Coturnix japonica: one gene and its partners. The protein of the gene in region 3 binds, or shares a complex with, the protein of the main gene of each other region. Links are inferred from orthologs where the notes say so. Each region holds a gene or a part of one and is shown on either strand. Other genes may lie near its edges.

Region 1 (5,006 bases), on a different chromosome or scaffold from region 3:
CCAGCAAAGGTTGTTTTTGTAGGCCAGATAGAATGGAAGAAACCAGAGGATCAAAAAGGAAGGTTGGTCCTTCCTGGCATCTTTCAAGTAATCAGACAGCCTTCTCAACAGAGTCAAGGTGAGGTTCCTTAGGAAGGAGTGCTGCAGCTTTACCAGCAACTGAGGCACAATGGCAGCTATGCTTTTCTAAAAGCCTGTGTAACCATGACCCAGCAGCCCTGACAAACCTGCCTTCCCTCCCCACTGCTCACCCTGTTCATGCACAGCTCTAGGGGCTGTGGGAGGAAGAACGAGATGGAGCTCCTCAACCTCTCCCACTTTTCTGGAAGTTATCTAATCAGGTTCCGTGGACTTTGCCTCAAATTCAGTCATAAAAATACCATAGGCACTGTGAGTTGCTGCTGCCTTGTCTTCCTTATTGTCCTTCTTGGTAACTTTGTCCTTCAGTGACTGAGAGGTGGTGCAGACAGGTGCAGAAGACCATCCCTCTGCAGGGTGAGCATCCCTGCATACCAGAACAAAGCCCAAGCACAACCCCTGCACATCCCAGAAGGGTACCCCATCCCTGGAGGCATTCAAGGCCAGGCTGGATGTGGCTCTGGGCAGCCTGGTCTGGTGGTTGGTGACCCTGCACATAGCAGGGGATTGAAACCAGATGATCATTGTGCTCCTTTTCAACCCAGGCCATTCTATGATTCTGTGATGCTATGAAGGGTGACCTAAAGAGAGAGGGACTGAGAAGCCAGACTTCAGACTGTGCACCACAGGGTGCAGTGCTGGGTGAAACAAAGCAGGTAGACAGTCAAGAGGGAAAGAGGGAACGGTCTCAGGGCTGAGTTCTGTTAGTGGTCCTTCCATGGGCTGTGGCATGCCCCTGAGTCTGAGAAAGAGCTTTGCTTGGCTGAGGGCTGAGAAGTCCTATTTGTGAACGTCAGAGTGCCTTGGGAAGAGCAAACGTCAGCATTACCCTAGCACAGCCCTGCAGGGCGTCTTTTCAATATGGAGAATTGCTGGCAAGCCTGTCATACCGCAAAGGGGAAATCCCTGGAAATACCAGGCCAGGTTGACTCCACTTACCAGCCAGCATCACCCTGTGTGTGTCAAACCCCTCTCGGCCCACAGAGGGGGTTTACCCCAAGGTCTTTCCTGTTCCTGCTGCGAGAAGGCAGAAGGCGCGCCAGTATAATTGTCGCACGCCGCTGGCGGTTTGTTCCAGCCAGCTCTGCACAATCCAAGCAGCTCAGCTTGCACCTGTGGGAAGCCAGGGGCACCTGGCTGTGCCCTGCAGCAGGAGAGCAGGCTGCTGGCGGCCCTGCCTCCACCTGGAGGAGGCCAGTCTCATCCAACCAATGCAGCCCCACACAGCAAGGCATCAGCCCCACAGCCTCCGCAACACTGGCTACAGCATCCTTGCCAAAAATTACCACTGCTGTTTATAAGTGGAAGAAAGGAAGATAACGGGGGGGAAGCAGGAGGAGCAGTTGTTCCTTCATTTTTCCATTGAAGCTAACACACCAAATATATATAAATAACAAGTACAGAGGTCCTGTTGCACCAACCAAGAGCAGCTGCAGAGAACTGCTCTGGGCTGGTCTTCCTGCACCCTATTCCTTCACAGAAGTCCTCTCATGCCTTACCACCCTCTGACAGGTTCTCTGTGAGATCCTCACTCTAGAAACTGGGGCCCACTGAGCTGGGATGAAGGCTTCCGCTGAAGCCACTGTTGGCCAAGCAATACAAAGATGTCAGGACCACATCTAGAGGAGCCCACATGGTCATGCAGAACACAAAACTTCCCTTAGCTCATCTGTGAGGCATCCATGTCCTGCTCCAGGACATCATCTTCCTTTATGGGCACTTACAGATACCTCCAGTGCCCTTCCTATATCTCTGCAACACCAAAACACCTGGATATCCACAGCTGGAAGGACAGGGAACCTCATGCAGAACAGGGGCATTGGCAGCCCCACTAGGAGGAGAAAATGGTCCCCATGCAGGTCCTACAAGACAGCTCCAGGGACCAGCAGCAGGCTCAGTGCCAAGAGAGCTGCCACAAATCCAGCACAGAGCCAGACATCCCCAAATCCTCTCATTATCCAGCTGCTAATAACATTACCAGATGCAGAAAAGTTCAAGATGTTATCCATTCACTGAAATGTTTCCCAGGTTACAAACCAGTGTGTTCAAGGAAGAAAATATCACAGACACAGAGTCAGAGAGCCATCACAGGTCCAGATAACAGCCAGCAGGGAGACCACTGCCATGGACACCAACCAGAAGCAGGAGGGCACCACTCCCTGCACTGTGGATGCTCAGAGAGGCACCACACATCACTCGCCTCCCCAGTGCAGTGGGCCCAAGAGAAATGCTTTATCTGTGGTAAGATAAGAGCATTGCTGTGACAGCAGACAGGCAGCTCGAAGATGTGGTCAAGAGGGAGCCCTGTGGAAACAGGATGGGCTCGCTCTGGCCAAAACTCCTGTCCTAAGGGAGGACACAGTGACTGTCACACAACGTGGGTCTGACTGCGGACGTGTGGACCCCGCAGGCATAGGATGGCTGCGAGAAGCTCAGGTGGGACCTGGGGACTTAGGGAGGAGAGCTGTCATAGACTAAGAACCCTGTGGGCTGCATCAACACTGGAACCCCAACTGATAGTCACCTTCTCCGTTCCTGTCTATCTCTCTCTCTCTTTACTTTTCCCACTAGAAGTTGTTAAGTAATACAGGGTTTATTGCAGTTTCTTTAAAAGTCACACAGTTCAGCTGCACATCTTAGATACGAGAGTGACAACACTTCAAAGACCATTTTAGTACAGGCATTCTCTTTAAGACTGATTATTATGTTTGGACCTTGAGTGGACCTTAATCTAACAGAGCCGACTGGTGAATCCAGCCTCCCTCCCTTCCAGCACGGGTGGGACACGGGGCACCCACCCGCGGGACCCGTGTGTGCGGCGCAGCCTGCACTGACATCCCACACCCCGCACTCCTGAGACTCCAGAACAAAGGCTCCTCGTTCAACCTGCCGCTCGCACATACATGGGGCTGCTCTCGGGATCGCAGGCGAAGTTTACGGATGCCCAACCGCTGCATGGCCAGGCAGGGCGGCCAGCACGGCGAGCAGGTGTCGGGCGGGCGGGGTTACATCGCCGCGACCCGAGGGAGCCCCGATGCAGCGGCGGGCTCCTCGCAGGGCCGCCTCGGCAACGCGGTGATGCCGGGAGGCGGACACCGCTCCACGGGGATGCAGCCCCGGCCGAGGGACAGCCGCTCCCCGCCGCGTCCCCGCGCTGTCCCCGCGTCCGCGGATGGCGGCGGCCGCTCCGCACAAAGCGGGGTGGGGCTGCAGGAGCCCCGCAGCGCCGCACCGGCACCGCCCCCGGCTTCCCCGCACGGCAGCGGCTGCACGAGCCGTCCCTTCGCCACCGGCCGTCCCGCTCCCGGCAGCGGCAGGTGCCCGACCTTCCCCTCCCCACGCGCGTCTCTGCCCCGCGCCGCCCCGCTCCTTACCTCGCTGCTGGCCGCGGGGTCCGGCGGCCCGCAGGGCGTGCACATGGGAGCAGCGCCGCGCCAGCCCAGCCCGCTCCCCGCCCCGGCCCGCCCCCATGCCGCGCCCCGCAGCCGGGAGGTGTCCGCGGGTTCCCGGTGCGGATGGTGTTACGGTGCTCCGGCACCTCGCCCGCCCCCCGGCAGCCTTGTGCGGTCCCCCGACGTCGCCAAGGAGCTGCGGTGCGGTTTGGGGCGCGTTTAGCAGGGAAACACCTTGCTGTCATCTGCCCGCAGTCACAGCGCTGCCGCGGCTCGGCGGCCCCAGCAGCGCGTGTTTGCTGGCATGTATGGACTCGGAGCCTCATGCCTTCATCCGCAGAGCCGCAGCCCGGCCCTGGGGCCATGCCTGGGTAGCTGGCAATGCCCAAGACCAGTGACAGAGTAAAAGACACGTCCCTGGCCGGTTACCCGGCTGACATCGCTCCGTCCCGTACCCACGTCCCGCACACATCAGTCGGTCGCGGCGGCAGCTCTGGGCTGTAGGACTGTGCTCTCATGGGGCAGGATGCTGCAGTTCGGGTGTCCTCGCACTGGTTGCGGTGCACACGTGGTGGCAGGTGGTGTAGAGGCATAACATGGAGTTCAGGGGCTGATTTAAACACTGCCCTTGTCAAAATTAGTGGGTTTTTTTCAGTTTCTACATGCAAGAGGATTTTATTGTGTTGAAAAACATTAAACTATCAGAGGATAAAGCAAAATATGACTGTTGATTTGAACTTGCTTTTGGAGTTTCTTTTCCCAACAAAAAGAAAGAGGAAAAAAAGAAAAAGCCATAAACAGCACAAGCACTGCAGGCAGGTCCTGTGACAGGGCCTTGTCACTCCACTCTCATGGCGAGGCCTTCACTCCCTGCTCTGTCATTCCACCTGGAAGAGAAGTCCGGGACTGGGATAAAAATTAACCCAAGTCAAAAATAAAAGAGTCCTGGGCCTGGCTCTGTCAGGGCAGCACGCCAGGGTACAGGAGTGGATCGAGTTGCTCTGCTATGCACCGGCACTTTTACAAGTAAGGGATTTGCTAAGGGGTATGAAGGCAGTGGTGGTTCAGACCTGGGCTGAAGCCTCCCATAGCCACCTGTTGTCAGCCCAGGAGCCAGCAAAGAGTTCTGTGTAGTTCACAAGTGCCCGTGCAGGCAGGTGGAACTACTGGACTCCAGGTGCTCCATCTCAAACTCTTGTTTTCCAGCCATAACAGGTGGCTTTGGCAGCACAAAGTATCCTCGTGGATTTCATGCAGAGATAACCTCTGTAAAAGCTGGTGTTTGGTTGTTTGTTTTTGTTTTGAGATACTGTGGTAAGACATGAGTAACACTTTATTCTCACCCTACACTGTCAGCGTGCACAGCTGTTACTGACACACAGCGGACCTATCTGCTGCAGGGCTCCCACTCTTTCCAAAACCCCAGCTCCACTTTGAATGTAAATTCATCCTGTGTGTCGGCCTCCAGAGGGCTCT
Region 2 (5,018 bases), on a different chromosome or scaffold from region 3:
CATTGTATACATAAGCACGGGCAGAAGGACGTAACGCCCCGTGACAGCTTCCATCCATTAAGTGACCTGAAGGTTTTGAAGGGCTAATAAACAAAGACACCTAAACCAGGGAACCCAAACTGCAAAGAAACCTCCAAGGAACGAGCATAGCTGAGCTGACATCTGAGGGTGTCTGCTCTCAGGCAGTGAGCAGGAAGTCCCTCACGCTCCCAAAATAGCTTGCCAAAATATAAATGAACCTCCTTTTGTACTGGTAGAAGAAGGTATGGTGAACCTCTCACATTAATTTGTCTCATACCAAAGAGCCAGCGCATAGCCTCTGCTGTCCAAACACACAACCCTTAGGGCCATTGGAGACAAGCATCTAATTTGAAATAAAGAGAATTTGAAGCATACTATCTGGAAATAATTTTGATTCTTCAGGAAAAAGTGACTTTAAGAAACTATGCATCTATATATAGCAGTAGAGTTCAGCATATGCCACTGAAAGCGTACAGAGCACGTGCTCTTCAGAGCTTTCAGCTACAGCCTGGGAACAGCTTTTCAGCAGGCCAACAAAGGAAGCAGCTTTGGAAAATGTTACTGAAATATTACCATCATAAGAAACATACCTGCTGCCGCTCATCACGTAACCGGAGCTCTCAAACGATGCAATTTCTTCACTGGTCAAGCCAATCTCACCTCTCCGAGGAATGCGTTTTCCTGCTTTTACATACTCTGCCATTGCTGCACCTTCACCCGGCAACAGGGCGTGCCCATAGCTAAAGAAACAGAGAGACAAACAGGAGGGATTTTAATCAGTCTCAACTAGAGTGAGCCTGAGCCAAACATCCAGCTCCCCCAGTCACTACCAGCTACATTTTAAGGACTTCCTTACTATTTCCCAAGTACGTTCCCATTTCATACTTACAGCTAATCTCAGCAAGAACATTTTAAGTAAGCAGTTTAATAAATTCTGGTTAACCAGTAATGAAGGCTGTATGAAGTCACAGCTCTGCAGAGCATTAGAGTAAAGGCACTTTACTGAAGTAAAAACCAATTAATTTTCTACGAACCCAGGCTAAAATGCGTAAAACAGACTTTTCTACTTAAACTCAGGTCAGAGTAAAGACTAGCACCACTACCACTTCTTAGTTTCTGGTACAGCATCCCTCTTGATATAAATCATATTATTTTAGGTCTTTCTGAGCAGAAATCTTTATGCTAGATTTACTTGACTCAATCAAGGTACCATTTAGAGTACTCACTTTAAAGGCCTATCATCTTGAGACGCATGTGTTTTGGGAGCTTCTGGTCCAATCAAGCTATCAGCTTCTGTATTTTCTGCAATGATCAAATAGTGAAGCAGATCAATACTGTGCCTCTTCTTTGTTATCAGAGCAGTCAACAAGGCAGCAAACACTTAAAAAAAAAAAAGCATGAAAAGAACACCAAGAAGTTTCAAGACAAATCTACGGGCACCTACTTGATCTCTCAATCCAGAGATCCTCCCCTTGAACTGTTCCATCATCAGAATCTTCACTGCTGGAATCACTGGATTCCTTCCGGCTCTTTTTATTTTTCTTTTTCTTGTACTTCTTCCTGCAATAACACCCAAGTTATCCACCAGCATTTAAGATAAAAAAACGTGCTAGGAGTCATACTCAAGTTATGAGTTTCTCAAGATACCTTCCACCAAGGACAGTCTGCATTTACATTGCTGTTTGATTGAAAACAACCGATAGTTAAACAAAGACAACACATCCACTGTTATGGCTTTCATACAGCGCTCGAAAGCGGCTCCCTGTGTTTCAAGGATCTCTCTGTGCTCTGGGATTCTGTACATTTGATGCCAGTCAAATTATGATTATCCACCTGCATTTACAGCTCTAATTACAGGAGCGCTCAGCTTCCCTCCGTTCCTGCTAAGACTGCGCTTAAAAGTAGATGCAATTATACTTCACAGCTTGGAAACTTACTTCCTGTGCTTCCTTTTCTTCCTTTTGCTTTTCTTTTTATCTTCATCTGAAAAACAAAAAACAAAAAAAAGGGAAGATTATGCATCATCAAAAAGCATACACTGTGAATTAGTTAATGCCTCCACCAGAACATCTCAATACACAGCTTGGACATCATTTGTTCTCCCTTACCACTGGAGCTCTGGTCGGACTCGGACTCGCTGTCACTGTCCTCAGAATGTTTTCTGTGTTTCCGTTTGGACGCCTTCCGTTTTCTCTTCTTTCGCTTCTTCTTCTTCTTCCTTTTTTCCTCTGGAATGTTTATAAAAGATAACATTAGAAAAAGATGAAGACTTAGTTCCGTGTATACATCTGGAGCATCCCAAAGCAACAGGGCCTATCACACTCACTTCAACCCAAGTCAGTGAACTTCCTGACAGCAACAACAGCAGTTTCTAGGTAGCGACTGGTTATCAAAATGAGCTGTATAAACAAAGCCAAATACCTTCCGAGCTGGAATCCGAAGAGCTGCTCTTGGATTTTGCCTCTTCGTCTTCTACTGGCGTGTGCTCATCAGAACTGAAGAAAAACAAGTTTGCTTTTTAAGATCTATTTTGTAGTATTTAGTAACTGAAGATCAGATGCACACATACACTGAAACACGTGCTTGTGGATTTTGAGCCACTACTTGCAACAGAGCAAACTGTGCAATGGCCAGCGTGCGAGACAGCAACTGTTTTCAGAACCACAGCAGAAAAGGCACCTATCACAGTATAGAATGTATCATAGAATGCCCTGGGTTGAAAAGGACCATAACAATCATCCAGTTTCAACCCCCTGCCATGGGAAATCATGTAATTGCGTCATGTCTTGAGTAACTGATGTGATGGGATTATCTGAATAACGTCTGTTTGCTTATGTTGGTTCAGATGCTTCTGACACAATGAATTGTGGCACCAGAGGACTCATGCGTTATTGTAAATTCCTCTAGAATTGATATCATAAAAAACAGAGTGAGAAGCAAAACTGTGCCTTACTCAGGGTCAGGAACCTTTGGCGAAAGCCCCCAGACTTCAGGTGCTCCCAGCTCTCCGATTCTCTCCCTCTCATTGAGTCTCCTGGAATGAAGCACACCGTTACTGGACGCTGACACGTCGCACCCAGCGAGCAGCTGCTTGCGGGCATGTCCCACTGCCCATAACAGCGTGAGAACGGGACTTCAATAACAACCTCAGCCCAACCCACGCCCGCAGGCCGAGCGGGCAGAGTCCAGCCCGGCACCCAGAGGCTCGTGCAGCGCCGGCGGCTCCCAGCCTCAAGCAGGGAGAGCCCGCAGACCCGCCCGTTGCCCGTTCCCCGTTCCCGCGTTGGTACTGGCCTCTGCCGCAGGATCTCCTCCTTCTCCTTCTCGTAGTACTCGGGCCAGGCCTTGCCGTGGTGGTGCCCGTGGTGCGCGGAGGCTCGAGTCCCGCCGGGGCTGCGCTCCCGGGATCGGGACCAGCTGCGGCTCCGCCGGTGGCAGCCGCGCCGCGATCCGTTACGGGACCGGGAGCGGGACCGGGAGCGGGAGCGGCGGCCGCGGCGCTCGGGGCTGGCGGCGGCCGGGCTGCGGGAGCGCGACACCGGCGCCATGATGGCGCGGCGGCATTTCCGGGCGGCCTGACGGCACTTCCGACGGCCGCCGGGCCGCGCTGCGCTGCTCGGACGGGGGCGGGAGGCGGCGGCGACGGGGCGCGGGGCGGAAGCGGGGCAGCCCCGCCCGCGGGGCGCAGTGCCCCACCGGCCGTGCGGAAACACGGCGACACGGCGGCGGGGCCGCTCCTTTGTCACCGCCCGGCACCATGGAGGCGCGGGCACAGCCGCGGCCAGGTAAGGCGGCGCGGGCGGACGGCGCACCGGGAGCGGCCTGCAGCCGGGAGCGGCCGGGGGACGGCGGTGCGGGGCCGGGTGAGCACCGAGCGAGGGGGAGCGCTCGCCGGGCCGCGATCCCCGGTGCCCGATGCCCGGTGCCGGCCGGCACATCAGCCCGCGCTGCTCTCGCGGCCATCCCGGCTCGGTCCGGCCCCGCCGCTGTCAGAGCGGCTGTCAGCGCAGCCCGGCCCCGCTCCCGCACACCGGCTGCCGCCCCAGGTTTCACGGGCCCGCTGCCGCCATGCTGCGGCTGTGGGAGCGCGGGGCACATACACGGCTCTTATTTACACGGTTCTTACTTACACGGCTCTTATTTACACGGCTGTTCTTTACACGGCTGTTATTTACACGGCTGTTTTTTACGCCTGCTGTGGGCAGGGTGATGTGGATGAGGCAGGTGGAAGCTGCAGTGCCTGTCACTCTGCCAGCTGAATCCGTACTGCCTCAAATGCTCGTTCCGTGCTTCCCATCTCGGGAGGATCCCGGAACGCAGCCCTGCCCCCTCCACCCGGCCCTGCATCCCCACACGGCACACAAGGTTACGACACCGACAGGCAGAGCTGGTTGCTGCTAACCCACATTGCTGGTGCTGGGCCCCGTCCCTGCAGCCATTAAAGGCACCCAGAGGTGCAGCCGGGGCTCTGCCATCGTGGGTGCAGCCCCAGCTCAACGTGGTGCCCAGCGCTGAGGCGGCTCCTTTTGGATCATTTCCATGCATCAAAATACAGTTGCTTTGTGTTCTTACCCACTGAACACCACCTCTTGTTGTGTGCTCTACACGTCCACATCTTAGAAAAACATGCTTCATTTAACTTGTCACTGTATACGTTTGTATGCTTGTTCAATCCCCAAACACTTTGGAGGCTGATCTGCAAGAGGCCTTGCAAGGCCGAATGGTAAAGCAGTTCACAGCTTGGTTTTGGGAACCCCAGAGCACTGCTCCTTCCAAACCAGTGCTTGTCTTTAGCTGTAGGTTCTCCTGTGAGTTCCTGCAAAGTCTGTAGGATCAAACAGATCAGGAACCGCAGATAAAACGTGCCATGAGCTCGGGTTCTCTGTGAGAACACTGCAGAGCACTCACACACACTGTGTCCAGGAGACTGCCCGGTGTGTGCCCGCACATGGCTGTCGCACACGCTCCAATGCAGGGTACGGGGTGGGCAGAGCCGG
Region 3 (4,520 bases):
CTCTGTCCCGTTGCAGTTAGGCCATGCTCTCTGTGACACTCCAAACCAGCAACTTCCCTGTAACTGGTGTCTGAACTCAGTGACCAGGAGATTATGCTGATGCAAGTGCACATTCCTCTGACAGCTTTGTGCAAATAACAGTCATTCCAGCTATGCCAGGAACCTCCACACTGCTGACAGCTCCCCAGCCTTCCTCTTCCACAGCATTAAAGCTGTCACTGCACTTACAAGGAACTGACGGGGTGTTTGACTGTGATAGCAGAGAAAGCCTGTCCTCAAAGGACACTTGTTCAAGCACTCAGGAATCAGTTGATACTAAAACCAGAGCTGTGTTACTGTGAGCACGGGAGAGCAGTGGTGTTGATTCTGGCACATCTTGCTCTGGCGTGGTGTCTGCAGGACAAGGTGCAAAATTCTTGCAGGCAGGGTAGCAAAGTGTGAGCAGACAAATTAATGCAAGCAGGAAAACTGGATCTCAGCTTCTTTAAACGTGCCACACCATTTTGACATGATCTTTTAGCGCTCTGAGTGCCTGGCATTTGGCGTGGGCTCAAGTTCAAGCTGTTCCACTGCCAGAGCACTCTGTGGTGAGAGACCTGGGGATTGAGTGGGAGGAAATAGAAAATGAGCTGTCCCAAAATGAACACACGGCATCAATTTTTAAAAAGGAGATGCTAAAATGGGCCGGTGAAACTGCTCCGTGATGCAAGATCTGCAATTAATTCAGAATGATGAAGTATTAAAAAAGCTCCCTTGTGCATTCAGTGTTACTCCTGCAGTTTGGTGTTCAGTAACATCGCATCCTTTGGATTTTTCTGCTGCCATTGTAGGAGCTTTTGCAGGTGTATTAATCAGCAGCTGCTGAGAGTTGAGCCCTATGCAGGGTCCATCCTCACACTGGTGTATGCTGACTTCTTTGGCCAGTCACTGGGAAGCCAATCCCTGTTTGGCACAGTGATGGAATGCAGGCTGGAGGGGATGCTCTATCCCCCTTTAATATCAGCTCTCTCTTCCCAGTGGAACTCCTGGTCCTTGCCACCCACCCTGCCATGTGGCCTTTCCCTTCCTTTGATTTTCTTGTCCCCATCTCCTGCCCCAGCAAAACCTGCTCTTTTTTCTCCTTCCACACTCTGAGGCTTTTTCTCTGCCTCAATTTAGCGGAGGGTTGTTGGAGTTAGGGTACTATGGTTAGGCTGTGGTTGGACTTGATGATCTTTTAGGTCTTTTCCAACCTGAGTGATTCTATGATTCCCTGCTTTTTCTGCTGTGTGTTCCTGCTGCCTTTCCTATGCTGCATTTGGAAGCTGCTGGATCCTGTGGGAACAGATGGAACTCGGTCACTCAGCAAAACCAGGAGAGCTTTGTGCTGAGCTGGCTGAGCGAGGGGCTGAGTGCCAGGCATGCTCAGGGAGGTGCCTGGGGTTATGGCTGCAGTGAGTGAAGGGCAAGATGAGGGGAAAAGAGGCAGCTTTCCACTTTTACCAACAGCAAGTAGGTCTGGAAGCTTTTGATGTTGTCTTTTTTTGTTGTTTTTCATCCCTCCTTTCTGCTCCCCCTGGTTGTTTTTTATCCAAGAGCACCTCTTAATGTCCTGTGAGTGTCTCTTCTTTTCTGTGACACTGTGGTCTTGAGGTGATCAGTCATCAGGATTCCTGATAGTCCTTGTGGGGGTCCAGCCCCACCTGCTGGTCCCACCCTCCTGGCTCCAGCTGTCTCAGGCAGCAGCCTCTGAGGAGCAGAGCTCCACACATTCACATTGAAAGCACCGTGCCTCATGCTGAGCAGTACAGTTGCACAGTAAAGGAGATGTCATGTTTGTTAGGTTGTATTTTACTTCTGAAAAGTATCCAGGGTCCTGCCTGGCCCAAGGGAGGTGCGCTGTGGGAGCTGCCCCAGCATGTTCTCCCTCTGGAGAGTGTGCTTTAATTAAGACAAGCTTTGAAAGATGGAAGATTTTGTTACTGCTTTCAGTGTAGCTTTAATTTCCCCTTTTTGGGTATGTGGTGTTGATTTTTAACTTCCTGTTTATTGAGGTATGCGTGTTAAGTGCCAAACTGGCAAATGTGTGTTGTCATGAGAACTTTAGTTCGAATCCATCCGGCCACGTGACTGTTTTTAGCTGACTTTCCAAAGGAAACAAAGCTTATGCAAATGTTCCATCTGCCTAAGAACCTTCTTCAAATGAATGTCTGAACTTACCAGCCCCTGGAGGCGGCTGTGATGGAGGGTTGGAACCTCCATTACATCAGGATGTTGTGACTGGTGAGGCAGTAGTGCTCCCCATGAGGACAGAGCTGAAGTTTGGATTCGACTGCCTTTTATTTTTGCTGGTTTGCCATTTGTCCAACCAAAGCGAGGGGGGATAGTGTTGGAAAAAAGGGATCAGAGAGTGTATAGGAGAAGCTGCAGTTATTATGAAGGACTGGAGTTGCAGTTATGGCTAAAAGATAGGAATCTGTTGGGAAACAGGCTTTATGGAATGTTGCATGTCAATGAACGTGAATATCAGGAAGCTGGTGTACTGGAACACTTTTAGATACACTTTGTGTGGGTCATTTGTCAGCCTGAGGTTTCTTACAGTCAAAGCAAACACAGCTTTGGACAGCATGTAAGTCTTGTCTTTCTCTTGAAGGTTTTCAAGCCATACCAGGCATCGCAGCATGACATGTGCAGATTCCACTCCGAGGACTACATAGACTTCCTGCAGAGAGTGAGTCCCAACAACATGCAGGGCTTCACCAAAAGCCTCAATGCCTTCAATGTGGGCGATGACTGGTGAGTGCTCTGTGCCTCCTGTGAACCTGGGGGTGGAAATGCTGCTGTGATCTTGCACTGTTTGTGTCTGGAGAACTATTGTAGTGTGTACTGGTTCTTATTTTTTAAGCAGAATGAGGTGCATGCCCTTCTTGAGCATAGCAGATTATTGCAACCTCCTCAATTCCTTCCCCTTCTCTTCATATCTTATCATCCTCCTTTTAGATCTGCATTTACATCCTAAACTGGTTATGTTAGAGACTGTGACTCCGCTTGTTCTTGCAGAACCTCCTGTTCTTCTTGAAAATATTATATATCTATTTTTTTAAACTGTTGCCTATTTTAGCTACCTTAATATGTGCATGTTAAGTGCAAGGTAGCTCTGAGAGCCTGATTTTCAGGTAGAACTGAGGAGAGTTTAATGCTTCTATATTCACATGAGAGCTTGTTACAAATATTCAGTTCCAGTCTTTCACATCTGTGAGAGGCAAACCTTGACAGAAGTGTGTAGAAGGGCTGTATGTGATCGAGGAAGTGCACAGTATGCCTTGTCTGAGGAAAGTAATGGCTGTCAGAGAATAAGACTGTTCTTTTCTATTCTTTGGAAGGGAAAGCTGTAAGTACTAATGTGAGAGGAGTGACATTAGATAAAGAACAGTGTTATCCCAGTAAGGTATTGGGATAGCCGGGTTTTTAATATTTAGACTGGGAATCAGAAGGCTGTTGTGCAACATTACTTTGATCAGAAACCACTTACAAGAATACAGGGGGGGAAATAAAAGTCTCTAAGCTATTATTTGTCCACGTATAATGTTTGTGATGTGATACTTGTGAGTTAGTGGCACATGGGCACCACATCTTCTGTTTCTATACCCTCTTAGAGATCCTGGTGCATTTATTGGCTCTGCATGGTGGGTTTGGTCCTGCCTCAGCTCTGCTGTAAGAGCTGCATTCACATCCACTTACTGTATATTGCATCCTGTGCTGTGAGTTGGGAAGGGGAATGGGCAGGGTCTTCTCAATGCTGATAAAGGAAGATAGCATGGGGCAGACCTGTCCTCCTTCCCAAGTCATATCCCAGCTCTGGACACACATCAGCAGGGCTGCAAGACAGATGCTGGTGTGTTGTGGCAGAGGAGAGCTCTCAGGACTGGCTTTGCTTGGGAGGCGTGTGGAGGAATAAGAAGATGTCCTTTGTTTGAATCATGACTTCTTTTTTTCTTTTTCAGCCCAGTGTTTCCAGGGCTCTTTGAGTTTTGCTCTCGCTACACTGGGGCCTCCTTGCAGGGAGCAACGCAGCTGAACAACAAGGTAACAGAGCTGATGGGCTTGTCTTTGAAACACTGGTAGGAAACAACTGGCTATCAGTTCAATGACATGAATGTGTTTAGTATAATAATGTAGCAAACTATGCTTTTTTGCAGTGTAAATTCTTTCCACTATATGACTGTAAAGGTTAAGACCATTCCTATGTCATTACAATGACAAAATTATAAACTCAGTTAACTTGGAAGAGACTTCTGAGATTATCAAGTCCAACTGTTCACCTAACAATGCAAGTCTACCACTAAACTAAATCCTTAAGCTCCACATCCACAAGTCTTTTCAATATCTCTAGGAATGGAAACTCCCCTGCCTCCCAGGGCAGCCTGCTCCCTACCTGACCACTCTTTCTGTGAATAAATTCTTCCTGATATCCAATCTAAACCTCCCCTGGTGCAACTTGAGGCTGTTTCCTCACATCCTATCACTTGTTACCTGAGAAA

What was found. The genes of interacting proteins can lie anywhere in the genome.
Region 1: HDAC3 (region 3) and CORO2A share a complex: the UniProt entries of both Homo sapiens proteins name them as parts of the N-Cor repressor complex. The link is inferred for Coturnix japonica from reciprocal best matches to the Homo sapiens genes HDAC3 and CORO2A.
Region 2: HDAC3 (region 3) and NKAP share a complex: the UniProt entries of both Homo sapiens proteins name them as parts of the notch corepressor complex. The link is inferred for Coturnix japonica from reciprocal best matches to the Homo sapiens genes HDAC3 and NKAP.

Annotation. Positions count from the first base shown.
Region 1 is NC_029547.1:62,366,538-62,371,543, forward strand, and holds the start of CORO2A (coronin-2A), read right to left. Parts: upstream 3,585-5,006; 5' UTR 3,558-3,584; coding exon 3,513-3,557; intron 1-3,512.
Region 2 is NC_029519.1:15,371,324-15,376,341, reverse strand, and holds the start of NKAP (NF-kappa-B-activating protein), read right to left. Parts: upstream 3,585-5,018; 5' UTR 3,570-3,584; coding exon 3,316-3,569; intron 3,056-3,315; coding exon 2,975-3,055; intron 2,517-2,974; coding exon 2,443-2,516; intron 2,250-2,442; coding exon 2,130-2,249; intron 2,005-2,129; coding exon 1,959-2,004; intron 1,582-1,958; coding exon 1,466-1,581; intron 1,324-1,465; coding exon 1,248-1,323; intron 762-1,247; coding exon 612-761; intron 1-611. Other genes in the region: ZBTB33 (transcriptional regulator Kaiso), read left to right, coding at 3,779-3,806. UniProt on the Homo sapiens protein: Acts as a transcriptional repressor. Plays a role as a transcriptional corepressor of the Notch-mediated signaling required for T-cell development. Also involved in the TNF and IL-1 induced NF-kappa-B activation.
Region 3 is NC_029528.1:14,736,786-14,741,305, forward strand, and holds part of HDAC3 (histone deacetylase 3), read left to right. Parts: intron 1-2,242; exon of another isoform or gene 2,243-2,262; intron 2,263-2,632; coding exon 2,633-2,775; intron 2,776-3,983; coding exon 3,984-4,065; intron 4,066-4,520. UniProt on the Homo sapiens protein: Histone deacetylase that catalyzes the deacetylation of lysine residues on the N-terminal part of the core histones (H2A, H2B, H3 and H4), and some other non-histone substrates.